Caenorhabditis elegans: one gene and its partner. The protein of the gene in region 1 purifies or fractionates together with the protein of each later gene. This does not show direct contact. Each region holds a gene or a part of one and is shown on either strand. Other genes may lie near its edges.

What was found. Proteins that work in one complex are often made in the same cells at the same time.
Region 2: the proteins of ZK354.7 (region 1) and F13G3.6 fractionate together in Caenorhabditis elegans (co-fractionation; one large-scale study listed by BioGRID). This does not show direct contact.

The regions. Positions count from the first base shown.
Region 1 is NC_003282.8:5,299,571-5,306,922, forward strand, and holds ZK354.7 (Major sperm protein), read right to left. Parts: upstream 3,561-7,352; 5' UTR 3,509-3,560; coding exon 3,434-3,508; intron 3,171-3,433; coding exon 2,571-3,170; 3' UTR 2,508-2,570; downstream 1-2,507. Other genes in the region: ZK354.8 (Protein-tyrosine phosphatase), read right to left, coding at 4,467-4,508, 4,554-4,806, 4,855-5,018, 5,068-5,293, 5,396-5,623, 5,693-6,021, 6,247-6,437, 6,484-6,502; ZK354.9 (Serine/threonine-protein phosphatase), read right to left, coding at 7,029-7,085, 7,319-7,352.
Region 2 is NC_003279.8:7,300,586-7,308,268, forward strand, and holds F13G3.6 (Glycosyltransferase 2-like domain-containing protein), read right to left. Parts: upstream 4,106-7,683; 5' UTR 4,103-4,105; coding exon 3,983-4,102; intron 3,933-3,982; coding exon 3,659-3,932; intron 3,612-3,658; coding exon 3,358-3,611; intron 3,286-3,357; coding exon 3,116-3,285; intron 3,065-3,115; coding exon 2,927-3,064; intron 2,878-2,926; coding exon 2,760-2,877; 3' UTR 2,715-2,759; downstream 1-2,714. Other genes in the region: dylt-1 (DYnein Light chain (Tctex type)), read right to left, coding at 1-165, 268-309; Inositol monophosphatase ttx-7, read right to left, coding at 580-841, 1,322-1,442, 1,487-1,641, 1,750-1,854, 1,968-2,104, 2,307-2,384; F13G3.7 (SLC (SoLute Carrier) homolog), read left to right, coding at 4,557-4,571, 4,612-4,929, 4,977-5,199, 5,245-5,368, 5,418-5,517, 5,565-5,717, 5,764-5,835, 5,995-6,111; mrpl-13 (Ribosomal protein L13), read left to right, coding at 6,532-6,624, 7,159-7,323, 7,367-7,453, 7,661-7,683.

The DNA.
Region 1 (7,352 bases):
GGATTTTTTAAAAAGTTAGTTTGAAGCCAGATATTAATTTTCGAAGTACAGTGCGTGCAACTTCTATAGCGCCCCCTATTTTTTTCGTGTTTCGTCACTTTCCCAAACTTTCTTGAGAAAACCATTATAGCCATTCGATTTCAAATGTCAAAAAAACCCCCTGTCCGAAGTTTTCATGAAAAAATATCAAAGACTACGGTAATTAGGTCAAAAAGTCTGAAAAACGACCGTGCAACTTCTATAGCGCTCCCTCGAATTTTCGCTATTTTTCAATAAAATGCCTAGTTTTATGAGATTTCTGAAAAGGATATAGTATTATATATTAAGAAAAATGATCATAAGGTCTCATTTTTCAATTTTCAACAGAAATATATTACGTGAAAACTTCTGGGATCCCAAGAGTGGTCTGAAACGCTTCACTTTGCGTTAGTGGCCAGTTCTCGGCTCCCACTGCATGTATTGATACGAAACGTGACCGAAATTTTCATTTTGATTTACTGATAATGTTTCAATAAGTTGTCATAAAATTTGGTCAATATGGGCCAGGTTGACAGCCCAAGTTAATAGTAAGGCTAGTAACCAATCAGTTGTTCTATCGATAAAACTCATCTGAGGCATGTCAGAGAATGGATGTGCGTCTTTTCTGGTAGACAAGATATCCATTCAATTAACTATTTAAAACAAATTTTGTCCGGATCGAAAAATGTTGGAAAATGATCGGTAAAATTCGAGAAATATCCCTCAAACAAATTAACAGGTGTAGAAACACTGGGCGGGTCTGTTTCCCGTGGTTCCGCGCGTTTCATTCGAGATCGAACGACAAAAGAACTGTCGAAGTGTTCAGAGGGGTCACAGAACTTGCATCCGAACTTAATATTTCAAAGTGTTTGTTAAAAACTAAAAATTCACCCAAAAACCTGCGGGCAGTGAACTCGCCCAGTTTTGATGTATGTGCAAATTTTTTAAAGGAGATCTCCTGCATTGGACCAATCATTTTTCAAAAGTTTTTTGTTCGAATAACACTTATAAAAATTTCAACAATGAATATGAAGCTTTTCTACCAGAAATGAACCGCGTCCAATCTCTGGCACGTCGCAAAAATCTGTTCTAGAGAGAAAAACTGATTTCCTCACAATGAGCAGCGCTATCTACCTTACCTATCTCCACCGAATTTAATATCAACCTTTCAAAATATCTTTAGTGAACAAAATTAAATGATTAGTTCAAGTTTCGTATCAATACATGCAGTGGGAGCCGAGAACTGGCCACTAACGCAAAGTGAAGCGTTTCAGACCACTCTTGGGATCCCAGAAGTTTTCACGTAATATATTTCTGTTGAAAATTGAAAAATGAGACCTTATGATCATTTTTCTTAATATATAATACTATATCCTTTTCAGAAATCTCATAAAACTAGGTATTTTATTGAAAAATAGCGAAAATTCGAGGGAGCGCTATAGAAGCTGCACGGTCGTTTTTCAGACTTTTTGACCTAATTACCGTAGTCTTTGATATTTTTTCATGAAAACTTCGGACAGGGGGTTTTTTGACATTTGAAATCGAATGGCTATAATGGTTTTCTCAAGAAAGTTTGGGAAAGTGACGAAACACGAAAAAAATAGGGAGCGCTATAGAAGTTGCACGCACTGTATGATGAATCTATTAATTCCTTATTCCATTCTTTTTTAAAATGTGATCAAAAAATAGGCCTGAAAATTTACTTTTTCCGCTTGAACTCGACGGTTATAAAAGTTTTTGAAATGATGTTTTCAAATTCTGAAAAAGCACAAAATTTGCAACAAAATGGCTACGGGGATTTTCAAAAAAGTTAGTTTGAAGCCAGATATTAATTTTCAAAGTATGGTAAATCTATTAATTCCCTTATCCATTCTTTTTTAAAATGTGCTCCAAAAATAGGCCTGAAAATTTACTTTTTCGCTTGAATTCGGCGGTAACAAAAGTTTTTGAAATGTCAGTATTAAATTCTGAAAGAGCACAAAATTTGCAACAAAATGGCTACGGAGATTTTCAAAAAAGTTAGTTTGAAGCCAGATATTAATTTTCAAAGTATGGTAAATCTATTAATTCCCTTATCCATTCTTTTTTTAAATGTGCTCCAAAAATAGGCCTGAAAATTTACTTTTTCGCTTGAATTCGGCGGTAACGAAAGTTTTTGAAATGCCAGTATTAAATTCTGAAAGAGCACAGAATTTGCAACAAAATGGCTACGGAGATTTTCAAAAAAGTTAGTTTGAAGCCAGATATTAGTTTTCAAAGTTGTTGTCTCTAGATACTCTATAATGACCTGCTAAGCCAATCTAGAGCCACCCGGACAGAGAGTATACAACCTCTGACCTGCGTGAGACGGTGTACTTCTAAAGATCACAGAAATTTTTTATCGATATAGAAGGCCGGGAGTATATTATTTACCGCAAAACAGTTTTGAAAACCGCGCTGATTTCAAATTTAACAAAAAAAATTATTTTTCTGGATTAAAATATAAGAGCAACAGAGGAAAACATTCATTGAAGAAACTTTATTCGAGATTAAAAAGTTCACATAATTTTTTTTTATTTCTTTGCCTCTTCAACCTTCTTTTCCTCTTTCTTTTCATCCTTCTTTTCTTCCTTCTTTTCTTCCTTATTCTCATCGTTTTTCTCCTCTTTCTTCTCCTCTTTCTTCTCCTCTTTTTTCTCCTCTTTCTTCTCCTCTTTCTTCTCTTCTTTCTTCTCTTCTTTCTTTGCTTCCTTTTTGTCATCCTTTTTGTCTTCTTTCTTTTCCTCTTTCTTCTCCTCTTTCTTTTCTTCTTTCTTCTCATCCTTTTTTTCATCTCCTTTCTCGTCACCTTTTTTAAATGAAATGTAAATGCGTTTCATTCCATCTGGCTTATGATTCTTCCATGCGTCACGAGCAGGTCCGTCTTCCTTTGTTTTAATGTAGTAGAATGCAAAGTACTGCTTATTGTTTTCTGGAATCGCTTTTCCTGGATTGTGGCACAACGGTATATCAATGGTTTCATCTGGTTTGATATAGCCGACTGGTGTTTTGATTTTGAACAAATCATTCGAAGTGCATTTGACTTTAAAAGCACACTTGTCCGTCGTAGGATTTGTCATTTTCAACACCGTTGTTGTGACCTCATCACCAAGTTTTGCATTTGAAAATAACACCTGAAATTTAAATGTTTATTTTAATTTTTTATGACACTTGCTAATAACACCAAAAACAAAAAAACTCCAGTAAGTTTGGACTAGGGCTGACAAACCGGACGTCCAAGACAAAATTCATAGCAATGGTCCAAAAAAATTTAAAAACTTCTGTATCATCTCAAAAACAGGTATCTTACTGCCCAGAGTCCGGGAAGAGGACGCCCGGTTTAGTCCGATTTAGTCCGGCTTGCTAGCAATAGTTTGGACCAATTCATGATACTCACTGTTTCAGCGCTCAGCTTGAGAATAAAATTTTCAGTTTCCTTGGTTTCCTTTTCATCTTTTTTCTTCTCTGCCATCTTCAGTATTTCGTATCTTCGAAGCGAACTTGAAAGTGGATATTCAACGATGAAATAATAAATTTATCTGATTGAAACTCTCTTATTTTATATAGAAACGTTTCACGTGACACATCAATTATTTATTTGGAATTTTTACAAAGCTTTTAAAGTTTAAAATCACGGAAATTTATTATTTTATCAAAAAAAAACAAATTTTAAATATATTCAAATTAGTTACGCGTTTTCAGTGCCAATGGTCTGTCCGGGTGGACCTCCGGGATGTTCTGGTCATCCTGGCCACCCTGGTGAAGACGGATCAGCTGGACAACCTGGAAGCCCCGAAGGAGTCGGTGTATCGTTACCATATAATGGATGTATTCAATGTCCTATGGGACCACAAGGACAACCTGTAAAACCAGGGTTAACGGGGGCATCCTGGAGATGTGGTAGTTACTGGAATGAATGGAATACCTAGAGGAAGAGGTCTTCCAAGATATCCATGAATGCCAGGGGACAATGGATCGAGCGGAGCTAATGAAGAATCGGGAGAGTAGGGCCTCCTGGACCAGATGTTGGTTATCCCATGTCTGGGAGCCAGGGGCTTCTGGGTCGCAAGGAAAAACAGGTCAACCGGGTGGACATGGAGTTGATGGGCATCCTGGAAGGGTTTAACTCTGAAAACCGAACTTTCTTTTTACATTTCTAGTCTTTTCGACCATCAATCATTGTTCTAATAAGTTGTAGGTGTGCAGTGAAGGTCATTTGCATACCTGCACAATTAAAGATGCTCTTCTCTTCTCTCGCACTAATGTTCTCTCAGAAGTATTAGCACTGTCTGAAAGTTACACTTGTTCCCGTTTTCATATGACTGCAGAAGATTTAATTTCACATTATAAATTCAGTTGATATTCAGAAAACCAAAACAAATCTAGTAGAATTTTTTATTCCATATTTCAAGCAAATCAAGATCATATTCCTAAGCTTCTTTTGGGCACATTGCAAGTGCTTGCTCGTAATCCTGAAAACCAAATGTTAAGCATTAGAATCCGAATAATAGACAAACCTTGGCGAATTTGGCAAAATCTTCGCGAGATTGAACATACTTCTTCAGTGCCAAATATTCCAGGACGCATCGATGAGCGTACAAATATTGCATTTCAGTTTGGACTGCTCTGAAACGCTCCTCTCGAAGTTTTGCCAGAAGGCGTGGAACTCCAATGAAATCCGGAAGACAAATTGACTCGAGGATAATCAAAATGAGAGCAAGTGTGCCAGTTCGACCGACGCCAGCGGAGCAGTGTACAACTATTGGTTTTCTGAAAATGAGATAATTATAAAGTGATTTTCAAAGAAATTAAACTTACGTGCAATTCTTGACAACAGTCAACAAACGGAACGGTGACAGAAAATTGTCGGGAACACCGTGATCAGGCCAATTGCGCCAGTGTATGTGCTTCACAATTTTGACAACTGCATTGTCTCCGGGCTTCGAAATACGCATTGTTGACATCACCAGAGTTTTATCGATCTGAAAAATAAGAACTTATTCATTGAAAATTAAATGTTTGAACTCTTACATCTACCCTGGATTCCTTGGTAACCGTGCACAGTCTCCCGATCTTTGTTGTTTGTCCAATTTGGCTTGGAAAGTATTCTGCGCTTTTTGGCTTCCCCTTCTCAACCAGCTCGCATAGCATCACAATGTACTCGATCCCTGTCACAATGATCATCTTCCAAAACTCTTCAATTGTGCCGTTTAACGGTGCTTGTGTGCAAATGAAGCGTCGTGGATTCGGTCCAGAACTGAAAATAACAAATTGTTCATGTAATTTTGCGATATGTATTAAGTACACTCTGTGGCGTCACAGAATGTATTCCAACTGCTGCAAATGGGATTTTCTTTACCTGACTAAGTTTGCGTGGATGTAGAAATGAGGATCGTCAGTCAACTTGACACGTGTGATGTCACAACACGGGATGTTCCGATATCGATTGCGTGTCGGATTCCCCAAGAAACTCGTTGCAATATCCTCTGGCGCTTCGTTTGGACTGTCACGGTATTCCTTTTTGAGGCCAGCCACTCCATTTTGCAACACCAGACGAATCCAACTACAGATGACTTCGGTCCGTTTCCTGAAAAATATAAAGTATTTTTTGTTTTGAAATTATAGTTTTCGATTTATGTGTGCAAAAAATAATTACTTTTTATCGGAACCGCCGGTTTCATCAACCGATTTCTCGTCTGTTTTCTCCTTTGATGGTCTTCTAATTGCAATATCTGCACCAGGAGATGGCGACTGCAGAAGTGGTTGAGCCATCGACGGTGGAATTGCTGGAGCCGGAGACATTCTTGGCAGTTGTGAGTTGATGACAGGTGGCTGCGGCGGTTGAGCACTTGTTGCAAGTTGTGGTGGAGGTTGATGAGGTGCCACTGGTGGTGGTGGTGGTGGTGGATCAGATGGTGGTGGCAGCATCATCGTTTTCATCGCGACTTCTGGCTCTTGCTTTGCAATTATCTGAGGAAGTGTCGGCTGAAATTTATTACTTGATATTTCACCAGGTCGAGGCGCGACATGGGCGATTTTCATTCTGGACTGAAACCGGACTAAACCAGCGTCCGGCTTGCCGGATTCGGTGGGTTCCGTTGTTACGATTCTGTTTTTCAAAACTTCGAAACAGATTTATCATTTCTCAATTATTCAAACAACCGAGCGCCCAGTTTGCCAGCCTAACCAGCGCATAGTTAATTCCCATACCGTTGGCTGTTGAGCAATCTGAGCCGTGGTCTTCTTCGGAGTTGGAACAATTTCATTGTTGGTTGCCTCCTCTTGCTCAATTGATTGCATCACACTTCTCTCGTTCTTACTACGCTCATTCACACTGACGACACTTATCTTGCTGGGACGCTTATTCAATTTGCTCACTTTTTTCTTCGCACCAGTAGATTCTGAAAATAACGCTATTATGAGGGGACAATTAAAATTTTAACTTACTTTTCGGTTTTGGTGGCATTTTGCTTAGACTTCGGTTGATTTCTACGAAGAGTCAGACTGTATCTGAATACTATACAGCAATAAACTGATTCGAAGTTCTGCTTTATCGAAAGATGGTTTTTACAATAAAAACACGGTTTATTAGTTCACGCGAGAATATTCTTTACAGTTATTTAAATAAGTGTTTTTGTGTTTTTCTTCTGATTACTGTTTATTCTCTATTTGTGCATAAAATCCTAAAAAAATCTTTTCGAATATATTTTCAGGTTGACAGTGGAGGTGGATTGATTCCTGTAAATTTTTCAACTTTTCCTGTTAATTACCCAAAATCACCCTGATTTAAGGGGACACACAAAATCCATGAAAGGGAAGAACATACAACAAGTTCATGAAATGAGAGAGAGAGAGAAAAGTGAGTGGATGGAACTGAGTAAACAATAATATCTATGCACTACTACTGGAGAAAGGAACAATCACGAAAATGTGTTTATATCACTGGAAATTCGAGACAGAAGAAAAGTTCAATACATTCGAGGAATCATACACTAGCTGGCCGCTGGCATCATACGGCGTCTCGCAATTTTCTTTCTGGGACGGAGAACCTGAAAATAGATTAGATGAATTTTTAATTAGGAGAAGAGTGGAATAGATAATAGAGTCAAAAATAGGTATATGAAGACTACATCGTAGTTAATAAGAACCAAGATAATGCAACAAGAATAATCTTGAATCTAGCTCTTGGTCGGAATATTGCGTTTTTACACTTATAGCTAGAGTTACTTATACTTGATCAAACAGTCTCAACCATACTTCTGAAACTTCCCCAAAAACTCACCACAAACGAACAGACAAGATTCTTATTGACATAC
Region 2 (7,683 bases), on another chromosome or scaffold:
ACCGGAACCGCTCGAGATCTGAAGGAACGACGAGGTAACCACATATTTGTATGGTTTTCCCGCTGCCACTAGCTTCTTCGTTATTTGTTCGACGGCCTTCTGATTCCACTGAACACTGTCCTTGTGGGTATACTGGGTGCTTGCGCCTACAACCTCGTCGAGTACCTGAAAGATTATTGGATTACGAGAATGTGAATAAACAATAATCAACTCAAAAATTATAGTTTTTCAAAGAATTAATACAGTAGACATATAAAATATCGGTACCTGCTTGATGATCATGTGAACGTCCTCCTCTGCCAAAGCCATGATGTTGAGCTTGTGAGAGCTGAATATTGAGTTTAATTATTAAAAAAGAGACAGTATAAATAAATCAAGTGCGCTCAAACGGCAATTGAAGTATCAGAAATTAAGATATAAACATCTTTAAATAATTTATTCTCATAAAACGAGAATACATACGACTAGAAAATAAAATCAAAAAACTAATATTAAATTGGAAATACAGATAATGCATGTTATGGTAGGAATGTTATGTCACAATATGTGAGTTTTGAAAATAAATAGTTAAATATATATTTAGGCTTCCGGCTCGAAATCGACATGAGTGAGGCATGCAGATAAATCGCGTCCGAGTTCAGCTGTTCCAGCGCAGAGAACTTTTCTTGACATGACGTCAAATGGGGATCCAGTTGGATCAGTGACAACACCTCCGGCTTCTGTGACAATGATAGAAGGAGCAGCAACATCCCAAGCGTGAATCCCGTATTCAACATATCCATCGCAACTTCCTTGTGCAACCATCACCATGTTGATCGCGGCGGAGCCAAACGAACGGTGTCTGAAAAAAAAACTTGGATTTTTTTCAAATAACTTTTATTATGTATAACAATATTAAAAATAATAATATCACATCATCCTCGTGATTTTTTTCATATTAAACTTTGTCCATCCAACATCTAACTTTTCCATCTTATCCATTTCTCAATTTTAGTAAAACTTTCAAAAAATTTGCAAACGCACAGTTCAAGAAAGTCACTAGATTTCGACAAGAATATAAAAAATATTTATAAGTACCCGTGACATTGTTTGTCGAACATAACAGTCTTGTAAGAATCAACAAATGATTTCTGCATAACAGGAGATCGAATTGAGCCAAGTTGAAGTATGAGCACACTTTCCGCAATGACTGGAATTTGCAACGTTTCTATGTGAATGTAAATAAAATTGAAAGTAAAACGTGCAAAACCAGCGCGGGAAGTGTGGAGGTATATTTTTTGTAAAAAAGTAATCAATTTTAGACCAAAAAATTAAAACAAACCCTCGCACACCAGCCATCACTTGATTTCGCATGTTTGACTGGGCAATGTCGAGCCAGCGATCGCCGAACTGAACACGATTATGCAGACCGAGAGATTGACAGAGAACTCCCTTTGAAAGCACTTCAAAAAGCAGGGTGCATGACAAGAAAAGTGCAATTACTTACATTGATTCTTTGATGCTCGGATTGGAAATCCATTTTTGAAAGCTCCCTTTCCGAGTTGAGCGAGATAAAGTTCATTAGTGATTGGATTGTATACGATTCCAGCACGAATTTGTTTTTTGATTGCAAGTCCAACGCAGATTGCGATCATAGGGATTCTATAATAACATAAGAATTTGTTTTTCGAGAAAAATTTGAGTCCAAATTAGAAATTAAATAACGCGATTTGCCATTATTTGAAGAGTCCGATTTAAAAAAAATCTTACCTATGAACAAAGTTAGTAGTTCCATCAATCGGATCAATAATCCATGTTGGTGCATCAGTCCATTCAATTTTCGCACCTCCGGCTACAGATTCCTCGCCAATGAATCTGAATCAAAATAGTAAATTTATGTAAATACTCGATTGAAAAAGAAAGTCCAACTGGTTGTCATGGAGACAATGAGTGAAATCGAGCGGACCGTGGGAATTCCTTGCTCTTACCTATGTCCTTTGAATCTCTCGGAGAGCCCTTCGATGAGAAGCTTTTCAACAGCTTGGTCAGTTTCAGTCACCAAATCAGTATTCGATGATTTTGTGTCAACCTTGCTTTCCGGGGAGTCAAACGCGGTACGGACGAGCTGAAAATGTTTTTTTCGAATATTGATGTTTTTTCAAATAATAAAATTTGTTTCGTAACTGAGGAATAGAGAATGTTGTTTTTCGAGTTACGCATTTGATTTAAATGTGCATATTTGTAAAATTAACAAAAATAAGACAAAGATAATAACGACGTTGTTGTTTTAGGAAACAGTTTGATTTTTTAATCCGAATTCAACTCACCGTTCCAGCTTTTTTAACCAACTCAATGGCGTAGTCGACGAAAACTTGCTCTTCCTCGTGGATTGGTTGGAACACCATCTAAAACTTAAAATCAATGAATAAAGAGCTGAAGGGAACCACTTTGCCGAAAAACAATAAAATAAATTAAAGAAGCTAAACGGAGAAGCCGTCTATTAGGAAAACTAACTCGCGCCAGAGTCGTTTTTCCAACGACGCGAGCAGACGGAGCGAGAAAATTAGAGATCACTCGGAGACACGAGACGCAGAGACACCTAGTAATCTCTTCCCATGTTCTGTTAGGAAAAATGATAACGACGAGGGAGAAAAATGACCAGACACAAAAATTTGCAACATCAAAGTACATTGGAGTCACTGAGAACCAATGAGACAACGCAAAATGCAAAATTTAAACGGATAAATTGTTTATTATATCAAGTATCGGATAGCAGTCTGTCAACCAAAGTAAACCAAGTCGACGTGCTCTTTCCAGCCTTTTCGTTCAATTATACGCTCCAAATCACCATTTGTCAAGTCCAATTTGACACAAACGACGAGCGGAGGCCTGGCATTTCTAAAACAAATAATACGTTTAGTAAGAAACTGAGAAAGTGAAGACATACTCAAGGTTAACAATTGGAACTTTGTGAGTCACACTGCGTGACACTTCATCAAACTCTTCATGAACACCTCTCCCGATTTTTGACTCATCAATATCGCAAAATTCTCTGACTTTGATCTTCTCGTCATCTGTGAGACTTCTAAAGAATGTAGTATATGTTGAAAGAATGTTTTCAAGCATAAACCATTACTTGAAAAGACGTTTTCCTTGCTTCCCAGCACTCCAGATTGTGAATTTGTCCCATTTTGCGATGTATTTCTCTTTTAATCTCGATAAACGGAAATTCCAAATTGTTTGTTCTTGAACGCTGTGTGATGCACAGTTTTTATGGTATCGGTACATGACAATGTCATCATCGACCTGAAATAACACACATTTTGAAATGAATTTTTTTCAAGCTAACTTTCCAGCTAAAATTGCCAATTTACTTACTTTATCAAAAATACACTCCGGGAAATCCAAGCACTTGTAGAAAAATTCTAAGTCTTCAGGAAAACCACACGAAACATCTGTTCGAAAACCGCCAACCTTATCGAAAAGTGCTCTACTAATGAACCAAGTAGGAGCAACGAGCGTGGGACCATGAGATGTGTAGACTTGACTTCTGATTTTGTCTCCGATCATCGAGTTCGCCCATTTTGTGTATCTTGTTGTGGAGCCTTCTGGTAGTCTATGAAACTGTCCACCTAACAAACAGTTAGGATCGTATTATACTTAACTTCAATTTATTCACCTACAAAAATTAAATCATCTCCAGACTTCGATAACTTCGTTGCCAACTCCAATTGGCTTTTGATTCTGTTCGGAGAGCTGACATCATCTGCATCATTGAAACAGAGATATCTTCCTTTCGAAGATCTTACAGCACAATCCTTAGCGGCACCAACTCCACCGGGTTGAGGAACGTGTGTAACAACGACATTCATTCCCATCTCTTCGAACTCGAGCCGCGCATTTTCCAGAATTCTAACAGTGTCATCTACACTCCCGTCGTCAGCCAAACAAATCTGAGATATTTTTATTAATTAGAAGAAACAAAACCATACGCATTTCTAACCTCAATTTTTGAATTTTCACAAGCTGTCTGGTCGAGTAGACCGTTGAGTGTTTCCCGCAAGAACTTTTCTACATTTTTGGCTGGAATTATGACAGAGACGTCATATTGATAGTTCATCATACCCTATAAACATTCAATTGAACAATAACCAACTATAAAACGAAAAAATTCATAAAAGCTGAAAGAGCGTTACCGAAAACGGAAAACAAAACATTAAAATGGAATTTTAAACTTTGAATAAAAATAAACAAGGCGCATTACGATGCTCCGTTCTTACGACGCTGTGTCTCTCTCAATAGCACACTCCCTCGCCGTAATGCGGTGCCTCTTTTTTGTTGGTGAACATTTTTAAACTACTCGTTCTTTGTTGATGTTTTTCTCTCCATCTGTCTATTTTTCTATAAAATTTTAAAAAATACGTATTTTCCTGTTTTAGTCAGATTATCAAAATATCCGCTTGAAGTTCCTTCGAAAAAACTCTCCAGGTGATGCTCAATTCTAAGCCGATTCTCACACTTTGCTCGTTTTTGCCTTGAAGACCAAACGATCGACTATTTGATTTTAAAATTAGAACATGCGGTTCGCAAAGGTATGCTCTATCCGATATTAAAAGTTCTAATGTTCATAAGATGTTACAGATGGTTTCGTCTGAAATGGACACCGCGATTGAGGCTCGGTCAATAGCAACATCCCCGCTAAACTCGAAAGTATCTCCACTGAGTCAAATACAGAAGGACAAGCTTTTAGTAATTCAATGGGAACATCTCAACTTGTACAAATTCTATCCAATGGCTCTGTGCAGTTCATGGACAATCAGGTGCATGCTGTATCCAATGTCTGTTGTGAAGAGCAGACTACAACTACAGAGACAAAATAATGTGTATAACGGAATGCGAGATGCATTTGTTAAAATCATTCGTCAAGAAGGAATCGGCGCTTTGTATAAAGTTAGTTTTAGTTACCGGATGTTTTATTGAAATTTAAAATATTTCAGGGATTCTGGATGACACTTCCCCAGCTGTCAGCTTCATTTTTATATTCATCAGCTTATGAAAGAGTCAGAGACTTGCTTCAAACCCATCTTCATATTACTAATCACTCTGTGGTATCTGCATTAGCCGGAGGAATCGCTTCTCCTTGTGCACAGCTAATATTTGTACCAACTGACATTGTGGCTCAACATATGATGGTTCATAATAATCCAGAAGCATTTGGAGGTAAATCGCTTTTTTGAAATGTTTGCTCTGAAGAATATAATTTAGGTGGAGAGAAGAATATACCAGTAGCAGATGCAATCAGAAAAGATGGTCTCGAAGGCAGAAGAACGTTAGGTTTGAGAGTTATCAGGGCCGTGTACAAAGTTGATGGAATTTTCGGTTTTTATAGGTATTTTTATATTTTACAGTTTCAATTATGACATATTTTAAAATTTCAGAGGATTCCTATCCGCAATCATGTTGTATATTCCTTCAACAATGGTTTTCTGGTCTACATATTACAATTCATTAGCAGTGTTCAGAATGATTCGTGAAAAAGTAGGTTAAAGTTATGCTAAACTGAATTAAGTCAATTATTAATTCAGGTCACTGAACTTGAATATGGAGTGAAACCAACATCTCCTTCCGAAGTTGATGATCGGAATTTGTTCCTGGACCAAGCTGTGAGCGGTTCTATTGGCGGAGTCGCTAGTGCAATGGTTACAAATCCATTGGAGATGCTGAGAATTCGGTTACAGGTAAGAATTTTAGTAATCTAATTCAATGAAATTAAAATATTTTCAGGTTCATCGAACAACGTACAGGGAAACGATTGTTAGACTATGGAAGTATGAGAAAGCACAAGTATTCACCAAGGTATGGTTTTGCCAAATCAAGATATACCAAATTTAGAAAATGAGCTCAGAAATCAACATGTTTACACCATTTTTTTGCTTCAAATAAGTATCCGTAAAATATGCTGAGCTCACGAAAAATATTAGTTAAATACATTTATATATGTTTTTAATATTTCAGGGTCTCGCACCGCGTATGGTGAATAATGCTCTCTATTCAAGTCTTGTAATGCTTGCCTATGAAAGTGTCAAACGGTTCTCAGTTCTGCCCGAGTTTAAAAACAAAATCGTCTGGTGATCGCACCTGCTCATTTTCGAATTTTTACTGCTCACACACGTGTATTCATACTTTCATCCAAAAAAATAATCTAAGATTTCTTATTTTGCAGCAATGCAACACCGCTTTCGTTTCTCCTAGAAGATTATTAGATGCTGTCCAAAATTGTAAATTTTGTGTGATCATATCACCCCAAATTCCTTCTTTCCGCTCTCTTCGAATTCTGTTCTATGAACTTTTCTTTTTTTTTTGTAATTGTTTCTTTAATATTCTTTTTTTTCTCACTATTCTGGTTCGGTCCCTTCTCATTTTCGAGTATAAATCCTTTGATGTTTGCTTTTTCTTTTTGATTTTTCCTTTTGAGGTAAATTTCCTCTAATATCTTTATTATATCATTTATTCGTTGAAATTACATTTTGAAAATCATTTACAAACAATCAGATGTCCTACCGGCGTGCCGTTTCTCGATTTGACCGTGTTAACCAATGGCTGCAGTTTTCGAGACAATGGCACGTGATTGATGCGAATCAACAAGTATGTATACCTTTAAGCCTCTTGTTTTGTTTTTTTGAATGTTTGAACGTAAACATGTCGACGATCAAATGGGAAAACATGTTGTTGACAAATGGAAGTGTTAAGTAATAATATAAGTGCAATCCTTTCTAATACACATAGTTATTCAAATAATACAAATTATTGCTCACTGATAAAAAATAATTCAACAATGACCAAACACAATAGTAAAGCTTTTCAAAAAATTCCTGAATTTATTTTATTAGCACGCAAATTGTAGTAATTACTCAGTTTTTTCCACTTATATTATAATGTCGTAAGTCCGCCAAAACCCAATTTGGCACGATTATTTTAAAGTTTAATTTTTTTAATCTTGAAAACTACAGAAAATCGCATTCTCTCTTCAATTTTTTCCTCTGAACAATCTGGAAAAAAAATCGAAAAAGTCCATTTTTGTAAAAAAAAATTACCAGAAAACAAAAATGTACATTCGAATAACAGAAAAACATAATAACAACATGAATATATTTATTTTTATTTCATATTTAATTCCAGGACGCCGAACTTCTTGGTGATAAAGTTGCTCGATATCTCGCAGGGAAACACAAACCAATTTTCCATCCAGAAACTGATTGTGGAGATCATGTAGTTGTTACAAACTGCAAAGATATTGCAATGCATGCATTTGACTGGAAACACACAATTTATAAGTTCAATATGGTGATTTTTGCTGCTTTTATAGAAATTATCAATTCTTTTGCAGGAATATCCAAAAAGTAAAGCTGATATTCCAGCATGGCAGATTCACGATTACGATCAATGCAGAATAGCTTTTTTATCGGTTTATAGGGTGAGTGTATTTTTATTTTGTAATTTATGTCATCCAATTTTTTTAAGTTTTGAAGTATTTTTGAAAAAAAAATAATCTAATGATTTATTCAACGTTAAAAATGTCTTTAAAATTTACCTGAAAATTAAACAAAACAATTTTTTGGCAATAACTAATATAAACTATTCGAACACCTGAAGTACGCGGTGGTTATATTCTTTTTTTCAGTCACTTGGAAATAATCTTCTCCG